Elephas maximus indicus: one gene and its partner. The protein of the gene in region 1 interacts with the protein of each later gene in a biochemical or structural test. Links are inferred from orthologs where the notes say so. Each region holds a gene or a part of one and is shown on either strand. Other genes may lie near its edges.

Region 1 (7,310 bases):
ACCAATAGTCTACCGAGGCCTCCGTGTTATCCAATCACCGCCGCCGCCACTCTTGAATAACAAGGTGGTGGTCCAGTAAGTGGAGCAGCAGGCGACCGCTGGAGGCAGGAAGCGCGCCTGCCCGTGTTGGAGCGCGCGGTTGCTAAGTGGAGTCGGTTGGCTCTCGTAGCAGCACGCGGAGGTGAACCCAGAATCAGGTAAGTGGCAGAGCCGTGGTGAGGTGCCCCCAGGCCTGCGGGCGAGCGGATGAGGGAAGACGCCGGGTGTGGAGGGAGTAGAGGATGGGGCGCGAGCCCTGAGGGGTGGGAGCGGGTGTTGGGGCGCCCCGCGCGCCCGGTGGCCGTTGAGCGCGGGGGCGCATGCGCGAGGGGCGGGCTGGCCGTTGGCGTGCGGGGCCGCTTCCGGGAGGGGTTGTCATGGCCGCCGACCCCTCGAGCCCGACCTGTGACTGAGCTCGTCTGTCTGTCGTCCGAACAGAGCCCGAGGCAGCCCAAGGCGCTTTGGGGAGGGCCCGGGGGGCGAGAAGCTGAACCTTCGAGACAGGGCGGGCCTCTCCGAGTCCCAGAAATCCCCTTCACCGGGCTCTGTTCTTGCCCGGTGTTTGGGAGATTTGGGGTTCCAGAGATTTAGGGGAAAAAAAAAGATTTCTTTCGGAAATAGACGACCCCAGTAAGGAGCAAACTCGGGGGTGGAAAGCTGCACTTAAGAGCGAATGGATGCGAGTATCGTGTCTGGGTTGTCACTATCTCAGTGTCAATTTCCAAGTTCACCCACTCCAGGAGGTCCGCCACATCGTATCTCCTTCTGATCTAATTTGCTTTGAGCATTATATCTTGTCCAGTCACCTCCTGGAGATTTTTGTGCCTCAAACTGAACTTCAGATTTCCACCAAAAGCAATCCAAAAAAAACCACAAAAATTTCATTTGACCTTCTCAATAATTTTAAATACACCACCTCCTCTTGGTCACCCAGGTTTGAAGCCCAGAGTAGATGACCCTGGCTCTTTGCTCTTGGGTCATCCAGAGTCTGGATTATTCTACGCTCTTCTCTGTACTTGATGAATGCCCCCATCCTGGTTTTCTCTGCTGCTGGTCCCTCCTCCGGAAACCTTGGTGGCTAGTGATTAAGACCTATGGCTGCTAACCAAAAGTTCAACAATTTGAATCCACCAGGTGCTCCTTGGAAACTGTATGGTGCAGTTCTGTTCTGTCCTATAGGGTCGCTATGAGTCAAAATAGACTCCACACAAGTGGTTTGATTTTTATTTTTAGTCCCTCCTGCACTCCATCCTCATCCTGGTTGAGTCACTCAATTCAGAAGCTCGTCAGTGATTTCCTGTTGCATAGTAAATTGAGTACAAATGCCCTGGTCTTCTGCCTGTACTTCAGCCACGAAGTCCTACTCCCATTCCCCAAAAGGGTCTGGTGCTTTTCCCAGTGGCCGTTCTTGCCTCATGTCGTTTTTCCTCCTGCCTGTTTTTGCTACTCAGAATCCTCAGGGACCTTATCAGGTGCTGCTGCTTTCAAGGATCAGGTAACAGACATGCTTACTTTAGCCCCAGAACTCTGCCTTGAGGCCTTGATCCTAGTAGGACTTTGGATCGATTTGTTTCAATTTCACGCTCTGCTGAGAGTTAGTATTTCCACTCTGGATATACTGAATCAATCTACATTTTAACCAGATCCCCTAGTGATTCTTACGGATCCTGGGGATCTTGGTAGAATGCATATTTGTATTCAAAATGTCTGGGTATAAAAGCAAATTCTCAGTAGGGGGTCGAACCAAAACAAACCATTTCAAAGCCCTGGATTCTAATTCCATTCATTCAATCAGTGCTCGGTGAGTACCTTCCTGCTGTGTGGCAGGCCCTGTTCTAGGTGCTGGGGACACAGTAATCCACAAAACAGCCAGTCAGGTGAGAATGACAAATACATGACACGTCAGGTGGGAAGAAGAATAAGCTGGGTAGGGTCTCCTGTGCCTGGAGGGTATGCTGTTGTAGTTGGGACCCTCAGGAAAGACCCTTCCGGAGCGACATAATTTGAGTGAAGGAACAGTGAGTGCAGAGGCACAGAGGGGAGTTAGAGGCATTCAGGGGATGAGATCTGAGGGCAGTGGGGGGTCAGGTCGAGTCAGATGTGATAGGCCATGGTAAGGACTATTCCTAGCAGATGGGAGCCATGAGTGGAGGTTGTGTACACAAGTGATATGATCTGACTTGGTTCCCTCTGGTTGCTGTGAACGTGGGGGAGGCAGAAGCTGGGGACCACCGAGGAGGCTGCTGCCATAATCCAGCCAAGAGTCCAGCTGTGGATGAACAGGGAAACAAAACATGGTGCATCCGTACAATAGGGTATTATTCAGCCACGGAAAGGAATGAAGTTCTCATTCATGCTACCGTGTGGATGAATCTTGAAAACATTGTGCTAAGGGAAAGAAGCCAGACACAAAGACCACGTATTGTAGAATTCCATTGATATGGAATGTCTGGAGACAGGAAGGAGGTTAGCAGTTGCCAGGGGATTGGGAGATCGGAGGGTGAGGTTGGTAGCTAAGGGTATGTATGGGGTTTCTTTTTGAAGTGATGAAATGTTCTAAAATTGATTGTGGGGATGATTGCACATGTCTGAATTGTGTACTCTAAATGGGTGAATGGTAAGGTAGGTAGATTTTATCTCAGTGATCCTGTTCTAATTAAAAAAGGAGGTGATGGCCAGTGTGGTAGCAGGGTGAGGTGGCTGATCGACCTGGCAGGGTTTGCTGGTGAATGGGACATGGAGGATGAGCAAGAAGAGGCAGGCACTGAGAGAATGGAATTGCCGCTTATGAGATGGGGAGAGCTGGCTGTGGGGAGAAACAGTTTTCATTCTAGGCATTTTGAGTTCAAGGGGAGATGTGGAGAAGGCAGCTGTGGAAAGGAGTCTGGAGGTCAGGGGAGAGGTTGCCTCCAGAGACACAGGCTTGGGAGGGGCAGCACAGAGATGTTTAAGCGGGGAGGGGGGCGGGGTACTGGATGAAGTCACAGAGAGAGAGAGAGAGAGGAGGACCAGAAATGGGGCCCAGGGCACAGCACTCAGGCTCGGGAAGAAGCACTGCTTCTGCACCTCTGCCCCCGTTGGGCTGGAGGCTGGGCTGGGGCGGGAGGGTGGAGGGAGACTGTCCTCAGGCTGTCCTCAGGTTTGGATCCCGGGTGGCACAGCTGCACCCTGTGCTCTGTACGTGTTGGACTAAATAAAGTGAGGAGGTGAATGAGCTTCGTATTAATTCCATTTACTGCCTTGGCTTTATTTTTATTGGCCCTGGGCCCAACGGGAGGCCTTTTCCTGAGAGCACTTAATTATTCCCCTGTGCCAACCACAAATAGCGGGAGAAGCTGAGCGGCGCAGACACCACTCCCTAACAAACGCCCTCCTCCAGCATTGCAGCAGCTTTCCTTAGGGCCGTGACCCCATCTCTAGGTCTCTGGGATCCTGTACTACGCAGCCCAGCAGGGCACATGGAGAGTGGTGGGCAAGGGCAGCTTTAGGCTGGGGGTCTGAGGAGGGCACTTTAGAGCTGAAATGGAGCATTCTTGCGAGGACCTGGGGCTCCTCTAGCCTAAGAAACAAAGCTGGCCTGGTATGAGGGGAGTGGTGCTGGATGAGGGGGGCAGGGCCCCACAAGGAGGGGTGGAAATTGGGGCTCACTCTGAGAGCACTGGGAAGCCTTTGAGGGTCTTTGTAAGTGTATGTGGGTGTGACCACCTGGTGTGTGTTTTAGCTGCCATTGGGCTGGCTTTTGACTCATGGCGACCCCATGTGTTAGAGAGTAGAACTGCTCCGTAGGGTTTTCTTGGGTATCATCTTTATAGAAGCAGATTTCTAGGCCTTTCTTCTGTGGCACCCCTGAGTGGGTTTGAACCGCCAGCCTTTCAGTTGGTAGTCTAGTACAAACCATTTGTACCACCCAGGGACCTTGATGGTATGTGTTTTACGAGGGGCAGGTGTGGTGGAAGGGCAGGGGGTCGAGGCAAGGTGAGGTGGCTTCGACCAGGGTGGTGGGGGTGCAGATGGGGAGACGGGATGCAGTTGGAGGCAGCTCATGGTTGGAGCTTGCGGGACCCGCCGATGATTCAATGTGGAGGTGACGAAAAGAGTCAGGATGGCATCGAGTAGTCTCGGCTGGGTGGGCTTCCATGCTTGCTTTCAAGACTGGCCAGCAGTGTCATACCGCCTTGGGACCTGTCCACCTTGCCCGGCAAGTTTTCCTGCAAGCATCTGGGTCACTGCCCTCTGCCCTCCTCTGCTCTGTTCTCAGCACTATGGCAGAACAGGATGTGGAAAACGAGCTTCTGGATTACGAGGAAGATGAAGAGCCCCAGGCGCCTCCAGAGAGCACTCCAGCTCCATCCAAGAAAGATGTCAAGGGTTCCTACGTTTCCATTCACAGCTCTGGCTTCCGGGACTTTCTGCTAAAGCCAGAGCTACTGAGGGCCATTGTGGACTGTGGCTTTGAGCACCCATCTGAGGGTATGCCTCCCTGTCTTCTCGCCCTGCCAGGACCCTCACCAAGACCAGCTCTGCCCGTAGATGGGAACATGTGCCTTCCTGGTGGGGTTGGTGGTGCTTAGGCAGGGTCTGTGGCTCAGAGGTGTCCAGTAGCTGCCCTTTGCAGCGTGGTACTCTGCTTTACCAGACAGATACCCCAGACCCACAGTTGTTTGTGACATGATAGGCCCTGGCCTCCTCTCCTTGCCCTCACCAGGGCCTCTTGGCCAGCCCGTGAGGAGCCTGCACAGAGGGGGCACCCAGCATCTGGCCGCTCAAATCCTTTTCCTCCCACAGTCCAGCACGAGTGTATCCCCCAAGCCATCCTGGGGATGGACGTCCTGTGCCAAGCCAAGTCTGGAATGGGCAAGACAGCGGTTTTCGTGCTGGCCACCCTGCAGCAGATCGAGCCCGTCAATGGACAGGTATGGGTGACCTCCCCTCCCAGCCCAATCCGCTGAGCAGAGGGCCCCCTTTCCCTGCAGCACACTGCTTCCTGTTCCTTTTTCATCTCTTCTTAAACATTTCTGTCTTCACATTCTTTTTTTTAATTGTGCTTTTGATGAAAGTTTTATAGGCCAAGTTAGTTTCTCATACAAAAACTCATATGCACATTCATATGTGACCATAGTTGCTGTCCATGTAATGTGACAACACATTCCTCCTTTTCACTCTGGATTTCCCATGTCCATTCAACCAACTCCTATTGCTTTCTTCCTTCTCCTCTCACCTCTGGACAGGAGCTGCCCATTTCGTCTTGTGTATCCTCTTGAACTAAGAAGCACACTCTTCAGTAGTATCAAATTATGTCTCATAGTCTAGTCTAATCTTTCTCTGAAAAATTGGCTTCAAGAATGGTTTTATTTCTGGGCTAAACGGAGAGTTTGGGGGCTATGTCTTCTGGGCTTCCTCCAGTCTCTGTCAAACCATTAAGTCTGGTCTTTTTGCTAGAATTTCAGTTCTGCATCCCACTTTTCTTGTGCTCCATCAGGGACTCTTTAATGTGTTCCCTGTCAAGGTGGTCGTTGGTAGTTGCTGAGTACCATCTAGTTCTTCTGGTCTCAGGCTGATGGAATCTCTGGTTTACGTGGCCCTTTTTGTCTCTTGGGCTAATATTTTCCTTGTATCTTTGGTGTCCTTAACTCTCCTTTGCTCCAGGTGGGTTGGGATCAATTGATGCATTTTAGATGGCCACTCATTAGCTTTTAAGACCCCAGACACCACTCATCAAAGTGGGATGCAGAACATTTTCTTAGTAAACTTGGTTATGCCAGTTGACCTAGGTGTCCCCTCAAGCCATGGTCTCCAGACCTCCACCTTTGCTATACTGTCTCTTGAAGTGTTTGGTTGTGTTCGGGAAACTTCTTAGCTTTTGGTTCAGTCCAGTTGTGCTGACTTCCCCTGTATCATGTCTTGTCCTTCACTTCGTGTAAGATAATTCTTGTCTACTGTCTAGTTGGTGAGTTCCCCTCCCTACTCATAACCATCAAAGAATATTTTCTTCTGCGTTTAAACTTTTTCTTGAGATCTCGTAATAGTGGTCTCGTGCAATATTTGTTCTTTTGCAACTAATTTCACTTAGCATAATGCCTTCCAAATTCATCCAGGTCATGAGATGTTTTCCAGATTCATCGTTGTTCTTTTATCATTGCATGGTATTCTGTTGTCCCGCATTAGTTTTGTGGGCTTATAAGATTAAATGTAGTATTGTAATAAAATCAGAAAATATCAATAAACCAAAAAAAGTATCCATAGTTTTTCTACATAAGGAGATCACTTATATTAAATGATGTGTGCACTCTTAGATTGTTTTCATAAAGGCGGGTGTGTACTGAGTGGAGCTCCATTAGCGCAGGCCACCTGGGCTAGGCTGGGCCTCATTGACCTTATTGCATGTGTGGGTAGGGGTGCCCATCAGGAGCTCCCTGCCTTCTTGGCGGGAGATAGGCCTCAGTAGCTAGGAGAGGGTGAAGGGCCATGAGGAGGTGGAAGCATGGGACTGGGCATGCTAATGGCCTAGGTGTGGGGAACAGTGGGAGGTCCAGCGTGGGGTTAGGCTTGAATATTGTCAGTTGGGAAGGGAAGAGCACACTGGCATGGGCTTTGGGCCCTGGGAAGGGTTAGGACCTTGGCTTAAGGACCCCTCTTCTCCCACCCGACAGGTGACAGTCCTGGTCATGTGCCATACTCGGGAGCTGGCCTTCCAGATCAGCAAGGAATATGAGCGCTTCTCCAAGTACATGCCTAATGTGAAGGTGAGCCCCTTGGGCTGGGCCCAGTGCCCAGTGGTCTTCTGCAGTGTGCTGGCCTCAGCTGTGGCTCAGCCAGCGTTTACTAAGCTTGGCTGCAGCAGCTGCCTCTGAGGTTTGCGGTAGTTTATGCTCCTTAAAAGCCTGATGAATTATGCATGGCCCCCAAGGCCTTTGCTGCCCCAGCCCTGGGGCTGCTTTTCAGGGGCGCTGGCCAGGCTCTCAGGCTTGTGTCCCTGCAGGTCTGGCTTGTTCTCAGGCATGGGGGTGGTGATGGGCATCCTTGGGGGTTGCAGGCCTGTGCTGGCAGGGCCATGGGCTGGGTGTCAGCACAGAGGGTGGGGTGCCGAGCCTTTATGCCAGGTGGGCAAAAGCAACTTCTCCGTGTCCTCGCAGGTGTCAGTGTTCTTCGGTGGCCTCTCCATCAAGAAGGATGAAGAAGTGCTGAAGAAGAATTGTCCACATGTTGTGGTGGGGACCCCGGGCCGCATCCTGGCGCTTGTGCGGAACAGGAGCCTCAACCTGAAGAATGTG
Region 2 (7,188 bases), on another chromosome or scaffold:
CTCAGCTGCTAACCAAAAGGTTGGCAGTTCGAATCCATTAGCCGCTACCTGGAAACGCTATAGGGCAGTTCTACTCTGTCCTATAGGGTTGCTATGAGTCAGAATCGACCTGACGGCAACAGGTTTGGTTTGGTTTGATCTCTCCATTTGGTTTGTAAACTCTCAGAGAACAGACATTTTATATCATGTACAACATTTCACATAGCAGAAACTCAAACACGTATTTATTTTCAAGTACTAGTAAATGCCATAAGAAGCCTTGGCAGCGCAGTGGTTAAAGCGATCCACTGCTAACCAAAAGGTCAGCAGTTCAAACCACCAGCAGCTCCATGGGAGAAAGATGTGGCAGTCTGCTTCAGTAGAGATTTATAGTTTTGGAAACCCTATGGGGTCACTGGAAACCCCGGTGGTTTAGTGGTTAAGGACTACGGCTGCTAACCAAAAGGTCAGCAGTTTGAATCCACCAGGCACTCCTTGGAAACTCTACGGGGCAGTTCTACTCTGTCCTATAGGGGCACTATGAGTTGGAATCGGCTTGACTGCAACAATACGGTTTTATGGGGTCACTATGCACTGGGTTTTTTGGGTTATGAGTCAGAATCGACTCGACAGCAATGGGTTTTGGAGTATGTAGCAGACCAGATGCTAAGTACCTTGAATGCATTTTCTCATTTAATCCTTAAAACAAACTTATGTAGTTGGTATTATGATCCCCATTTTATAAATTAAGAAAATGAGACTTAAACAGATTCAGTTGGTTTATGATCACACAGCTAGTAAACAGTGGAGCCAATATGCCAGCTAGGGTCTCTGTGATTCAAGCTCATAATCTTAACTACTAAGGTGCTAACACTGCTCTCTCTTGATTCTTTTACCTCTCTCTCCTCCTCAGCCTCAAAGGAACCCTGGTGGCACAGTGGTTAAGCGCTGGCCTGCTAACCGAAAGGTCAGCAGTTCGAATCCACCAACTTGGAAACCCCATGAAGCAGTTCTACTCTGTCCTTTGGGGTCACCATGAGTTGGAATCAATCTGACCGGATGGCAACAGGTTTGGTTTTTTCCTCAGCCTCCTTACTAGCTCTTGCTCTACCCAACCCCATAAATACTGGTATTCACTAAGATTCCTTCTTTTGCTCTCATTTCACTTGTAACAAACGTGTTCACTCCCCTGAATCCAATCACTGGCAAATCCTGTCACCTCTACTTTCAAAATATATCTAGAATCTAATTCCTTTTCATCACCTTGAACACTACTCCTCAGGTCTTCCTATCATACAGACTATTGTAAAAACCTCTTCAGCTGTTATCTCACTATAGTTTATTCTCTAGTCAGATTGATTCTTTGAAAATTTAAGTCAGACATACGTATGTGTACATGCTACAAACACATCCATGTATGTAGTTGTGCACACAAGGGACATAGTCATGAAAACGTCTTAGCCATAACCATATACCTCATGGGACTGAGATACTGGTCTTGAGAGTTAGAATAGTCCCGGGGGACATCTAGATCAACTGGCATATCTTACTCCATACAATGTTGTACATCCTACCTTGTTGAGCAGCACCTGGGGTCTCAAGAGCTTGCGAGCAGCCATCTAAGATACAATTGGTCTCTTCCTGTCTGGAGCAAAGAAGAGTGAAGAAAACCAAAGCCTCAAGGAAAATATTAGTCCAAAGGACTAATGGACCACCTGAACCACAGCCTCCACCAGCCTGAGTCCAGAAGAACTAGATGGTGTTCAGCTATCACTACTGACTGCTCTGACTGAGACCACAATAGTAGGTCATGGACAGAATGAAATGAGAAATACAGAACAAAATTCAAACTAAGACCAGACTTACTGGTCTGATAGAGACTGGGGGAGCTCCCAAGGCTATACTCCTTAGACACTCTTCTAACTTGGAACTGAAATCACTCCCAGAGATCACATTATAGCCATACAGCAGAACAGGCCTATAAGATGAACAATTAACACCAGTGAGGAATGTACATCTCAGAACAATCAACTATATGAGACCTAAGGGGCAGCATTTGCCTAAAAACACAGCTCAGAAGGATGGTAGGGGCAGGAAAGCTGGGTGAATGGATACAGGAAGCCAGGAAGGAAGGGGGGAGAGTGCAGACACATTCAAGAGTTTGCAACCAAGGTCACAAAACAAGCTGTGCATAAATTATTGAATGGAAAACTAATTTGCTCTGTAAACTTAACCTAAACAACAAGAAAATGTTCACACAAAAAAAGAAAATTGAAGTCAGTCATGTCACTCCTCTATTAAAAAATTCCCCCACTGGTTTTCCATATCATAAAGGATAAAAGCTAGAGTCCTAATCATCACCTACAAGGCCCTACACAATCTATTCCCCATTCCCCACCATTACCTCTGTGACCCCTCTTCTACTATTCCTACTAGCACTGCTCACTTCGATAAGCCACGTGGCCCCTTACGCTACCCCTCTAACACTTTCCACATGGCTCACTGCTTTACCTCCTTCAAATCTTTGCTTCAACATCTTCTCAAAGAGACCTTACCTGGTCACCCTATTTAGAATGACAGCATCTTTCCCACTGTACTTCCTGTTTTTCTCTACAGACCATATCACCATTTTATTGTGCCTTCTCCAGAAAAATATAACCTCCATGAGGGCAAGGATTTTTGTCTGTTTTGTTCATTGCTGAATTCCTAGCACCTTTACGGTAGCTGGCACGTAGTAGGTACTCAATAAGTATTTTTAAAATGAAACCCAGACTTTTACCCCTAAACTCTCAGCTCTTCAGCAAAAAAACCCCATATTTCCAATTGACTACTAGACATCTCCAAAGTGACGTCCTAAAGACTCTTAAGCCTAAAACTAAATTTCTCTCCTATACAAGACTGGCTCTTCCTCCTCTTCCCAACCTAAAGGAGTCAATCTTGGAGTCATCTTTCATTCCTCCCACATTTAACTAATCTATAAATTCATACAATTCTACATTCCAAATTTGTTCCCATTCTAATAAGCACTACCTTATTTCAGGTCTTTTGACAAATAGTTACTGAGCACCTACTGTGAATCAAGCATTATCTTAAATACAGGAAAATAATCATAAGGAAAAAAAGTCTTTGCCTGCATGGAACTTACAATCTAGTAGGGGAACAAGGCAATTAATGATCACATAAAAAGTGTTTAACTGACTTAAAAAAAAAAACAAGCTCAAGGCTCTATAAAAGCGTATGAAAAGAGGTCTGATCATGTGCATGGATAGAGAGGGCAGGGAAGGCTTCCTTGGGTAAACAATGCTTGAATGATATCTGAAGGGTGACTAGCAGTTGATTAGACAAAGGTATTGCGGGGAGTGGGAGGTGGCAAGAGCACTGTAGGCAAAAGGAAACTGCAGCATTTGTGAAGGTTCTAGATTCTGAGGTAAAAACAAGAGGCAGTAGTCCATGGTGATCTAAGAACATCAATTTTTGAGACAGACTGCCTGGGTGTGAACCACAACTTAGCTGTGACATACAGCAAATTACTTAATCAGTTATTTAATCTCTCTGCACTTCAGTTTTCTCATCTTAAAATGGGATAATAGTAGTATTTACCTTATCAAATTAGTTAATGTATGTAAACAGCATTGACCAGTGCTTGCCACATAGTAAATGATATGTTAGTGTTAGAAATTAATGAATATAGCCATTCTGAGAAAATGAAATAAAGCCACTGTGGTTGGAGTGTTATAAACTACATTGGAGAGACATTAAAAGGTTTTAAGCTGAGAAGTAATGATAAAATCTGTCCCCCTCCAGATTCCACCCTCTGCACTGCCAGTAGAACACAGACAGGTCTGATCATCCTCCTTCTGCCTACATGACAAAAGCCAAACTCCTTACACAATTCGTTGTTTTAGATGCTGTTGTTCCATATAGGACAGAGCAGAACTGCCCCATAGATTTTCCAAGAAGCGGCTGGTGGATTTAAACTGCTGACCTTTTGGTTAGCAGCCGAGCTCTTAATCACTACACCACCAGGGCTCCACAACTTAGAAGGCCCTTTTCAGTATCAGTGCAATCCACCCTTATAGTCACACAGTTCACCTAGTTTTCCCTTCCAAACTATCTTCAGCTATCCACATATATGCACGTTATGCTTCAATAATGCAAATGTCTCACTATTCTTAACACTGACACTACTATACCTCTCTCCTCTCCTCTGCAATAGTCCATTTTTTAATGTTTGACTAGAAATCTGGTACTGTTACAGTTCAAAAGACATTTTCACCCACATCCACAGTTCTGTCTCTTTCCAACTGTGCTAGCATGACTGCACTTCTATAAAATCTTTATTGCCAGTGTAAACCAAAAACAAAAAAACCAAACCCGTTGCTGTCGAGTTGTTTCCGACTCATAGAGACCCTATAGGACAGAGTAGAACTGCCCCATAGGGTTTTCAAGGAGCACCTAGTAGATGTGAACTGCCGACCTTTTGGTTAGCAGCCTGAGCTCTCAACCACTGTGCCACCAGGGCTCCAGTGCCAATTTAGACAGATAATATTTTTCGTTCACTTCAAATCTTGTTCCTTAACAGTAACTCCAGGTCCCATTTTAAAGCCCCAAACCCCCTTTATAAAAAATGGAAAGGTTTAAAAAAAAAAGAAAGAGATAAAACCCTAAGTCAACCCAAAAGTCAGGATCACTCTATCACCTGTCCTGAAAGTCAGAATTAAAGGCATGAGTTCTTAACTAGAGGTCCATGGACTCCTCAGGGCTACCAGGTAGTTTTACGAGGCCCCTCAAATTGCATGCAAAATATGTATACATGCCTTTTTGTGGGGGAAGAGGGTCCATACCTTTCATCAGAGTTTCAAAGAGATCTGTGACCTCCAAAAGGTTAAGAAGTACTCTAGAGAAAAAGCAAAGACAAGCAAATGTGATTAAAAGGGTGAGTCCTTTTTAGGCTGCCTGGAATGCCTCATGTTCTTAATATCTAAAACCTGAAATCAGGTCAGAGGACATTCTGTAAAAGCGACTTAACCAATTAAATGCAAATTTAATATAGATCTGAAAAATACAGATTTGACGGAAGGAGGAACTCTATAAACACAAAATCCAAAAAGGCAAGTCATGGAATAGGAAGAAAATACTAAGTTTTCTATTCATATTTCCTTTCATCTCATCCACTCAAAAGTTCCTTTTGTGTGTGTTTTTTATAATATACATAACAACACAGTAGTATGTATGTAATTTATATATAAGTATACATACAATGAAGGTGGTGGCGTAATTTGTTTTTACTCATCATGATATTAAGAGGCCACCGATATAACCTACCCATTTCAGTACCATCAACTTAGCAGTAACACCAGCATAACAAAAAAAACCCACTAGTACAATTTAGAAATCAACGGTAAGAAATAGATCGGCTTTCACAGAAAGGATAATTGGTGTCAACTAATAAGTGATTAAAGAAAGGACCTCTATCTTTACTACTTAAACTTACTGGTCATCAAGTTCTAAAGGATCAATTTTCACTTTTGGCTAAATCGGCCTGTTTCGATCACGATTCCCAGAACGTGACCAAAACATCTGATGGGACAACTATTTGTGAAACCAAAAATGGACAACTTATCAAGTTAATTCGCCCTAAAAGAAACTACTCTTTTCTTGAACGAAAATGATAATCTAAATGTGAGAAAGCTACCAAGACCCATAACTTTAAATAGCTTCTGTGATTCGGAGTGTCAGTCGTGATATCAAGAGATGCAAGGTCCATCCACGCGATATGCAAGGGACTGAGACAAACCTAACCTTGGCATTGTATTCCACAGAACTGAAGCTAAGGGTTCTTTCTCCAAGGGGGGAGGTAAGGAGGTGCGGCCTGGAGGACCGGGAGCCACAAAGAGAACTCGAAAAACTTTTAAATCTGAGGTGTCTGTGCCTTTACTAACTGCTAAGGTCCCCTGAACCCCAGGTCTCGCCCAGGTTTCAAAGTTAGCCTCCGGGGGCGTAACCCCACCTGTAAAAAGAAGTGGAAGCATTTTCTGGATCACGTCTCGGTCCTCGACACAAATACACAAAGGTGCAATCACCTAATAGGGGAATCTCAACTTTGATAAACAGACGGGAAGCATCAACTCGGAAGAAAGGGGGGGTCCCGTGTCGGCGCAGGGGGAAAAAGAGGGGGCCGCTGACGTAATGCACCTCTGACAAGAAACGAAAAAGGAGTATAACAGGTAGAAGGCACTTACACAACCCAGTGGGGAAGGCTGACCGACGATACAGCGATTAAGAAAATTGGGAAGTCGAAATAACAAGTAAAAATAACTGTAAAGCCACGAGGAAAAACGGAAAAGTAGAGGAGTAGTGGGAAGACGGCAGGCACAAAAGAAAAGCCGACTAACTACGGCGGGAGAGGGAAAAGAAAATGGAAAAAAGCTACAAGGAGAACACGCAGAAGAAGGCGCAAGCCACTCTGCAGAATCCAGTTTCCAGAAAAGTCCAACTCAGCCATTCTCCCCTTCACGGTACCTTCAGCTTATGAAGCTCCACCGTCTCCGCCGCCATCTTGTTACCCCCTCTACTCCACTAGGCCCCCACCCGCCCCTTCTGCCGCCAAGAGCGCCCGCTTACGCGCAGAAAACGGCGGACCAATCGCTGTCAGTCTTACTTCCACCCCACACCATCAGCTCTTCCCATTAGTCAAGAAGTGGTGTCGCTCTCGCTCTTCTCAGCAGCTTTCCCCACCTCTCTCAAAAGGTGGGACAGAGAAAAGGGCGGGTTCTGCCGCTTCTGAACGACGGAAATAGCGACCAATTGGAGTCTCCATTGCAGACCGCCAGCCAATGGGTGGTGGAAGCGCTGATTCTGCTCCACCAATAGGGAGAGTACAAATGGGCGGGGACGGCTGCTTCCTGGAGACTACAGGTGTGGAAGCGAGCGCCGTGCTGTAGGAGGGGAGCTGTCAGGTAGGGGCTACCGGGAGACTGGAAAGGGGTTACTGAGGAAAAAAGGTGGGAGGGGGAAAGGAGGTGTGGGGGAGTTACAAACCGAGAGATGAGTGCTGGAGAGAGCCCTGAGGGGACCTGACGAACGAGAGAGGGAAGCTGGGAGAAGTATGGGGCGGGTTCAAAAGAGTTTAGGTATTTTTAGGTAGAGGCGCGGGCAAGGGCTGCTCCTAACCAGGCATCAGCTTTAAAGCTAACACGAATTTAAAGG

The links. The genes of interacting proteins can lie anywhere in the genome.
Region 2: the proteins of DDX39A (region 1) and SARNP form a complex in vitro, tested with the Homo sapiens proteins (2 studies listed by BioGRID). The link is inferred for Elephas maximus indicus from reciprocal best matches to the Homo sapiens genes DDX39A and SARNP.

What each region holds. Positions count from the first base shown.
Region 1 is NC_064821.1:33,009,480-33,016,789, reverse strand, and holds the start of DDX39A (ATP-dependent RNA helicase DDX39A), read left to right. Parts: upstream 1-4,301; coding exon 4,302-4,509; intron 4,510-4,824; coding exon 4,825-4,952; intron 4,953-6,689; coding exon 6,690-6,782; intron 6,783-7,172; coding exon 7,173-7,310. UniProt on the Homo sapiens protein: Helicase that plays an essential role in mRNA export and is involved in multiple steps in RNA metabolism including alternative splicing. Regulates nuclear mRNA export to the cytoplasm through association with ECD.
Region 2 is NC_064822.1:115,787,083-115,794,270, forward strand, and holds the start of SARNP (SAP domain-containing ribonucleoprotein), read right to left. Parts: upstream 3,027-7,188; 5' UTR 1,599-3,026; coding exon 1,554-1,598; intron 1-1,553. UniProt on the Homo sapiens protein: Binds both single-stranded and double-stranded DNA with higher affinity for the single-stranded form. Specifically binds to scaffold/matrix attachment region DNA. Also binds single-stranded RNA. Enhances RNA unwinding activity of DDX39A.